Arabidopsis thaliana: one gene and its partner. The protein of the gene in region 2 interacts with the protein of the main gene of each other region in a pairwise test. Each region holds a gene or a part of one and is shown on either strand. Other genes may lie near its edges.

Evidence for each region.
Region 1: the proteins of AT4G25400 (region 2) and CRF11 interact in a two-hybrid assay, tested with the Arabidopsis thaliana proteins (one large-scale study listed by BioGRID).

What each region holds. Positions count from the first base shown.
Region 1 is NC_003074.8:9,473,567-9,478,150, reverse strand, and holds CRF11 (Integrase-type DNA-binding superfamily protein), read right to left. Parts: upstream 2,740-4,584; 5' UTR 2,333-2,739; exon of another isoform or gene 2,233-2,332; 5' UTR 2,100-2,232; coding exon 1,101-2,099; 3' UTR 561-1,100; downstream 1-560.
Region 2 is NC_003075.7:12,979,404-12,982,778, forward strand, and holds AT4G25400 (basic helix-loop-helix (bHLH) DNA-binding superfamily protein), read left to right. Parts: upstream 1-1,633; 5' UTR 1,634-1,822; coding exon 1,823-1,993; intron 1,994-2,184; coding exon 2,185-2,577; 3' UTR 2,578-2,833; downstream 2,834-3,375. Other genes in the region: AT4G25390 (Protein kinase superfamily protein), read left to right, coding at 1-43.

The DNA.
Region 1 (4,584 bases), on a different chromosome or scaffold from region 2:
CTCCAAAGAAAAGTACAAGTCTTAAAATCTCAAATCAATTATTCTTAAGACTTCAATTTATTTTCTGTCAACATCTTAAGAATTCAATTAACAAAAAAACAAAAACATCTTAGAATTCATTTTAATTTGTTGAAAAAACAAAAACAAAATGAATATGCACGTTCAATTCAATGTATATCCATAATTCTGTTCACTAAAACGAAACTAATAAAATCCAAAAGCAGCTACAGTCTGAAGTTGAGAGATGGCTTGACACAAAAGAACACACCACTATATACTCTTTATATCAAAGATGGAACTAGTTGAAAATTTTGGCAAGACTTGTAATATACGCAAAGGTTGCTTTAAGAAAATTAGATCAAATATTAAATATTATAAAAGAAATGGTTTAAGAACCAACGCAATTAGAGCGGTGATAATTTGTCCTACTGTTATCATCAACCAAACCCATTAACCTCTCTATCTTGCATTATGTGTTTTTGTTCACATAACTTTTAAAGAAAACTTTACTGATATAATGCAAAAAGAGGATAAGCCTAAACCCTAACTCTATAGGTAGTGATTGCAGAGAACAAACGGTTTATCTAGTTATCTTCATGTCTGACTGAATCAACCCGAAAGAAACAGCAATCAAACATTGGTAACAATGACTTAACAAGAGCAGAGGACGAAACCATCAACAATGTATGTAGCACAAAACAAATAAAGTAGGTCTCACATATGTATCAATAACTCAACAGGCAAAACTTACAAAGATTGAGAGAGCTTACGAATTAGAAAACATCTAAAGGCTTTTCAAAGACAATCCTCATATAGAAAAAAACCCTAAATGAGAAACAATTGCCTTCAAAAAAAACCACCTGAGATTTACAATTTCGATCACACCTCTCTATCTTCTCCACAACATCAAAACCATTATGTCAACAAAACTTTCTTTAGTAACACCAACACACAAAACTGCATCTGCTTCTATCTTTAGGGTTTTTGCTTCCCTTGAGATTAACTGCCTCTGCTATACTTTAATAACTTAAGACAAAACCGAGTAACAACGAGCTTTTTACGTTGCTCCTATAGCTAATAATAACACCTAGCTGCAAAACTTATGGGCACGCGATATTAAGAGGAGTGGGAGTAGTTGTTGCGATATGATCAACGAAAGCATACTTGTCAATGGTGGTTCCAATGAGACCAAGATCGATCTCCACATCTGAGAAATCATAGTCTGGAAGTTCGCTTGGACCGTCACATTCAAGACCAATGATGTCCAGATCATCTATGCCACAGTAATCATCCAACATTTGGTTGTTGTTCTCTTCTGTTAAGAGAAAATCAAGCTCACAAGCATTTGGGATGAATGAGTCATCAATGAAGCAACCCATTTCAGGAATCTGTAGATCTGCAAAGTCGAAATCAAAACTCGCTTTCTTCGATTCACCAGCTTGTTGATCAAGAGTCGAATCAACTAGCTTCTTGTCAAGATCAATGCTTGACCCTGAGGCTGAGATCATAGAACCAGACTCATTTGACAAAACAGAGGAAGCAGCAGAAGTGGCTGCAGCCAGAGCATCAAACTCAAGCTTCTTGGTAGCATAAGCATCAGCTGCTTGTTCAAGCGTCTCGTAAGTACCCAACCAAGTTCTTACTTTGGTGATTGGATGTCTAATCTCAGCAGCCCATTTACCCCATTTCCTCTGCCTAACACCAACAGGCTTCGAGACAGTAGTAGAAGAACGTCCAACGACCGGAGATGCTTTGCTGCGTAAAACCTTTTTGCTACAAGCTGAGATTTTAGTCTTGCTTACACCATTATTGTTACTCTCCTGACAATATGAGCTTTCAGATTCTGCTTGAGTAGCAGCTTGAGCGAAAGGAAGATCGATCTCACAGACATAACGTTTCCTTCTCTGACTCCTTTCTTCTTCTTCGCTTGATGAGTAGTCAGTAGCGTAAGGATCATTCACAACGAAACGGAGTTTTCTCATAGTCTTCAAATCTTCAGATAAACCTGGGAGGTGATTTAGCTGAAAAGGTTTCTTCTTCATGGGTTTTTTGTTGGGTTTATTGGTTTGAATAGAAGAGCGTTTCTTTCGTTCAGCCATTTTATCGAACACTTGGTGTGCGAAATTCAAAACCAAACCCCCTTAAACCCTAAAAAACCTCTCAAAATTCCCAGAAAAGCCTCAAAATGAACTCTCTCAAGAACAAGAAAAGTCCTTTACCCCAGAACAAGTCCTGTTTCAATAACCAGCAAAAACACAACAACCCACTTCAGATTCGAACAGAGAAACTATAAAAACCATTCAAAGTAACAAACTTTAGCAAACCCAGTTACCTTTTAGGTCTTAAACGCATGGAAATCGATGAAACTGTGAGAAATCAATCACTGAGAGAGCTAGTAGATGTAGCTTGATGAACGAGAAAAACAGAGCAGAAAGCGATTAAGAAGACGAAGAAGGAAGAAGAAGAGAGAGAAGCGTAGAGTCAAAGACAGAGCTCCGGTTAAACAAATTATTCCGGCGACTTCAAAGATCCTTTTCTCTCTCACACTCCTCTCAGCTCTTCGAGCTTCCCAAAAGTGAAAAAGAAAAGTGAGAAGATAAAAGATTCAAAAAGAGGAAGAAGAAGAAGAAGAAGAAGATAAAGTAAAGAATCAAAACGAATCGAAAACAGATGACAAATCTATGGCCAAGATTTTTCTGCCTCTCTATTACCAAAGACAAAACTTTTAATTTATGTCGGAAAAATAAAAGAAAGTTATGTAACTGGTAAATTTAAGAGACCGAGGAATTTAAAAAGATGTTAAAAATCTTTTAAGAAACGATTGTTCAAACACAGATCTCAATAAAAATTTATTAAAGCATTAAAAGAAAGAAAAAAAACGAAGATGGGAAATTAAATTCGTTTTTTATTAGCATTTGGTTTTTTTTTTTTGGACAGTTTTATTTCATTTTTTCGGTTAAGATTGGTGAAAATAGTTTTACAATAGGGATAAGGAAAATGTTTTTTAAATTATCACTTTATCATTTTCGTTGGTTTAAAGTATGAATTTTGGATCTTGTGAATTAAATTCTTAATTTGATGTTGATTTTCAATTTAATTACAAATTCTCGTTGACTAAGCCAATTGAGACACAATTTTTTTTCCCGGTATCGTCAATCGACCTAAAGATGAAAGATTACTTTGAATTCGAATAAGAAGAGAAATTCCAAAGAAGATAAGAGATTCTGAAGAAAAATAGAGAAAAACTCAAAAATTTTAATTAGAAAATTTTTTAACGATGTGTCTTAATTGGCTTAGTTAACGAGAATTCGTGATTAAATTAAACGTCAACATAAAATTGAGGATTTAAATCACCAAATCGAGAGTTTATGTTTTAAACCAACGAAAATGGTAAAGTGATGATTTAAATGACATTTTTCCCTTTTACAATATGGTAATAAAACATACTATTTTTGGAATTATATTATGGATATATGGTAAATAAATTTAGTTTGTGAAAGGAATAATACTTTGTATCGAACAAGTTATTATTGTATTGTAATACATTATTCATGAAATTTACTTCTCACTGTTACTGCACTGTGGGTCTTTTAGCTAAGTGAAGTAATAGAATTTTATTTTATTAATAGTATTAAACTACAATAACATATATATTCGTTTTTTAATTAAAAATAAATAAAAGAGAGTGACTAGTAACTACTCCTTCATTGTTTAGTGAATTATTCATATTATTTGATGTGATGTATACTTGTATTCTATAGTAATTTAACTCATTCTCCCAAATTGACTCTTAAACAAAAACATCAATTATAGATTCTGATAATTTTTTCGGCATTCAACAAAAATATCTTACAAAAGATCGACGAGTATAATTCAATACCATTAATTAACATAACAATTTGTGAGGTTAATTAATTACATTAGAGGTAGTTTACTTTGCAGTATCTTGATTGTGCTAAAGAAGAACAATTTCGAACGTGGAGGATTGTTCCATCCCCACATTTGCTAGTTGCTACCAACCGAGGGACTTTTCATCATAATTTACAAGTCTTCTTCCCATCTTTAGTGGGTATAAATAAATACAATTTTTTTTTTTTTTTTTTTTGTGCACCAAATAAATACAATGTTAATGAGAATAATTCACAACTCAAAACGTTTTTGAATAACTCTGTTTTATTTTTTCCACACTCAAGCATTTCATGAAGTCAATGGTCTCTTTTTGGGTCAACTAAGTCAGTGCTTAAGTTAAGTTACTCTGTAATATTCCGTAACATAACATGATCATGATCACTCTAATAACTTGCAAAATCATTTAAGTTCGGTCCGATTTGAACCGATCAATTTAAACTTGTATTTTAGAGGTTAAGCTCATCCATTATTTGATATCTTACACCATGAACGAACATTTGGTTAACCTAAAGAACACAAAATAAAATAAAAATTTCTAACATTTTTTGCTCGATTCTATTTGGTTTCGGTCCTAATAGTTTTGAAACAACTTAAAACAGGTCGCTTCCAGATTAATCCAAAAAGTTAACATCTCTAGATTAAAATTTATATATCAACTTCAAATTTTATGATTTT
Region 2 (3,375 bases):
ACCATCGCCACCATTAAAGACAACGAGGAAGCAGCGCCGTTGACTAATTTAGGAATCATTTTGATTATTATTATTCAAGTGTTACACCGCTAGTTTTAGGAACTTTGATTCAATTTCACTATACTTTCCAATTTCTCTTTCTATAGTTTCACACGCATTATTGACATTGATTTTTTTTTTACACGTTTATACTTCGATGTCAATATGTCATACAACACTTCTTCAAATCGGAGTTGCTCGGGATTGGATTATTAGCAGAAAGAAAAGGCTAAAACTTTTTCCACCTCCAAAAGTCATTTAAAGGTCACACAAATCCTATGGGCCTAATCAGTTAACAAACCACTTCCAATCGAGTTAAATGAAATGAAGATACCAAATTGGGTCACGTTAGGAGTCAGCAGTTTGTGTTCTTTATATATGGACATGGGCCATCTTCGATTTTTCTTATTCGTTTCTACTTAAAATCACCAAGATTTATTGAATTTTTCTTCTTATTATTATTTGGCCCTTATATAGAGTATGGTCTATCCATAATTTGGCCCAGTTTTTTAAAAATACTAGATATTTGGAACATGCATGCTTTTTATTTTTAAATGTATCAGATTCAGATGAAACTCAATTATTAAAAAAAAAATCATACATAAACAGTTTAAAATATTTACTACTACTTAATTATTTTCGGATTAAGAAATCCCTTATAACATTTCATAAAACATAGTATTCTGCATTTTTTCAAAAAGTTGTTGTAATGTTTAGAAAACAAATTGAAAATGCAACAGTTTTTAATGAATAAATGCAAGGCGTTATAGAATGTTGGTTTGTTTTTCATTTTAAGTGTTTTTCAATATTTTAAATAATAACAACAACAAAAATCATTTGCTTTCGACTAGAAACAATGACTTATATCATTGCTTATACGAGTGCATGTTACAATCGTATGTGGCGGTTAGTCATCCTACTTGGCTCGATCGATGGTGTATTTGCTGAGGAAAGGGCTTTGTGTTCTGATTAAATTTGAGTTTTGATGGTAGTATGGCTTGAGTAAAGGTTGAGGATGTTGTTTCATTTTCATATGTCTGGCTCTTTCACCTCTTTGGTGGGTATGTGTTGTATCAAACAATCGTCTCTTAATACAATACCAGTTGACAAAAAAAGAGCAGTAACTAATTCTTATAAACTATAGTACATTATTTCCTATATATTTTATAACATAAAATAAATCATATTTTCTCATAATTTAAAGTGCTATTCAATGATTTTTAGGAATACGATCCAGCATATGGCCTTGCAGTCTATAGTATATATAAAAATAATTATATGGTACCTATGTCAGAGATATCTAGGATATATAGTAGATCGTCGTACAATTGATATATCATATAGTATGTGTATACAATAAGAAAATAAACATATAAATTGTACGATCTCTAAAGAATACTTTAAAAATGATAAATATTAAGATATGGAATGTTGAAGGGAACCTATTAAAAAGAGAAGAAATTAATGATGAAGCAGAAAGACGTCATTGCTTACCCTAACAAACCTCTCTCTCCATCTTTTTCCGATACGTCTACCAATAACTTAGTATTTTTTTCTCTTAGTTTTTAATATTATAACCAAACCCTTTTACTATCTTTTTTCCGACTCCCATATCTTTTTTTTTTCCGACTCCCATATTATTCAACTTTACAACAAATCCCTGACTAGAGCAAATCCCAGAGCACAAGATCAGATCCTTCTGTCTCATCATCATCATCATTATTATAATCATAATTACAAGAAGAATCGTTGTTCAAAATAATTAACGTATAACGACTTCTAGATGAATAATTTTCAGGAGAAGAAAAGAAGGCGTAGTAAAACGCCGAGAGTTTGTAATAACGAAGAAAACATGGAGAAGTTAGTACATAAAGAAATTGAGAAACGAAGGAGACAAGAAATGGCTTCTCTCTACGCGTCTCTCCGCTCTCTTCTCCCTTTAGAGTTCATCCAGGTCAAAACCCTAATTACTCTTGCTTTTAATTTCTTCCTCTTCTTCTTCTTTTTTTTTTGTTAAGGAAAAAGTCCACAAGTATGCTTTGTCGCTTAGTTTGTTAAAAAGATTCACTAGAACTCTAACACTCTATCATCACAATATCTCAAGTTGACCTCTACACCTTAATTACGTTTGATTTGGTTTTGTAGGGAAAACGTTCAACGTCAGATCAGGTGAAAGGGGCAGTGAATTACATAGACTATTTGCAAAGGAATATCAAAGACATAAATTCCAAGAGAGATGACCTCGTGTTATTGTCTGGACGAAGCTTTAGGAGTAGTAATGAACAAGAATGGAATGAGATTTCGAATCATGTCGTGATTCGTCCGTGTTTGGTCGGCATAGAGATAGTGTTGAGCATTCTCCAAACGCCATTCTCAAGCGTTCTGCAAGTGCTTCGTGAACACGGTCTCTATGTTCTTGGCTACATCTGTTCCAGTGTAAATGATAGACTCATTCATACTCTACAGGCTGAGGTACAATATCTCGAGCTTACTAACTTTACAGCAATCGAAGCATTACTAACTTTACTAAGAATATAGAGAAATACTTAATCATAACATATATTTCTAACTAACTTTACTAAGAATATAGAGAAATACTTAATCATAACATATATTTCTAACTTTGTTAATGTTTTCGATCTTGTCGGCTTACAAACGCGTTTATGTCCTAATTTGGAATGGAATATAGAATATAGCATACATCTTCTTCATAGCTTTTTGGAATGGCTTATTGTATCAGAGTAATGAATATATATGTTTGAGTTAATATGTGAAGTTGATTTGCCTTATGTTGAGTTAATATGTGAAGTTGATTTGCCTTATGTTGCAGGTCAACGATCTGGCTTTGATCGACTTAGCAGACCTTAAGGATACACTTACCCTGATGAAGTAATTCAAATAATCAAACGTTTTTTTTCAGTAGATTCCTTTTAACTTCTCAAACCAAAACGATGTATATATATGGTTCTTAGTACTTTTACTGTGTATTTATCTAGCTACTTTAAAGAATTTGTGCGTAAGAAACTAATGCTAGCTAGCTTTAATATCACAACCATCTCTTACATATTATATAAACTATGGTCCATCTAAACTTTTTCTTTATCATTGATGTTTTGACTATCTTGTTTATTCACAGAAAAAAATCTTCATTTTGAAAATTTGATTAAATATCTTATGAAAACAAATTATCTTTCAAGAAAATATATTAGTTTACTCTATCTTTTGTTCATTAGGGACAATGACTATTATTTTGAGGATTACCGCATGAGGCCTTCTTATTTCTAGACGTCTCTGCTCCTATATATAAGTCATATAACATTCTTATCTGAAGATGTA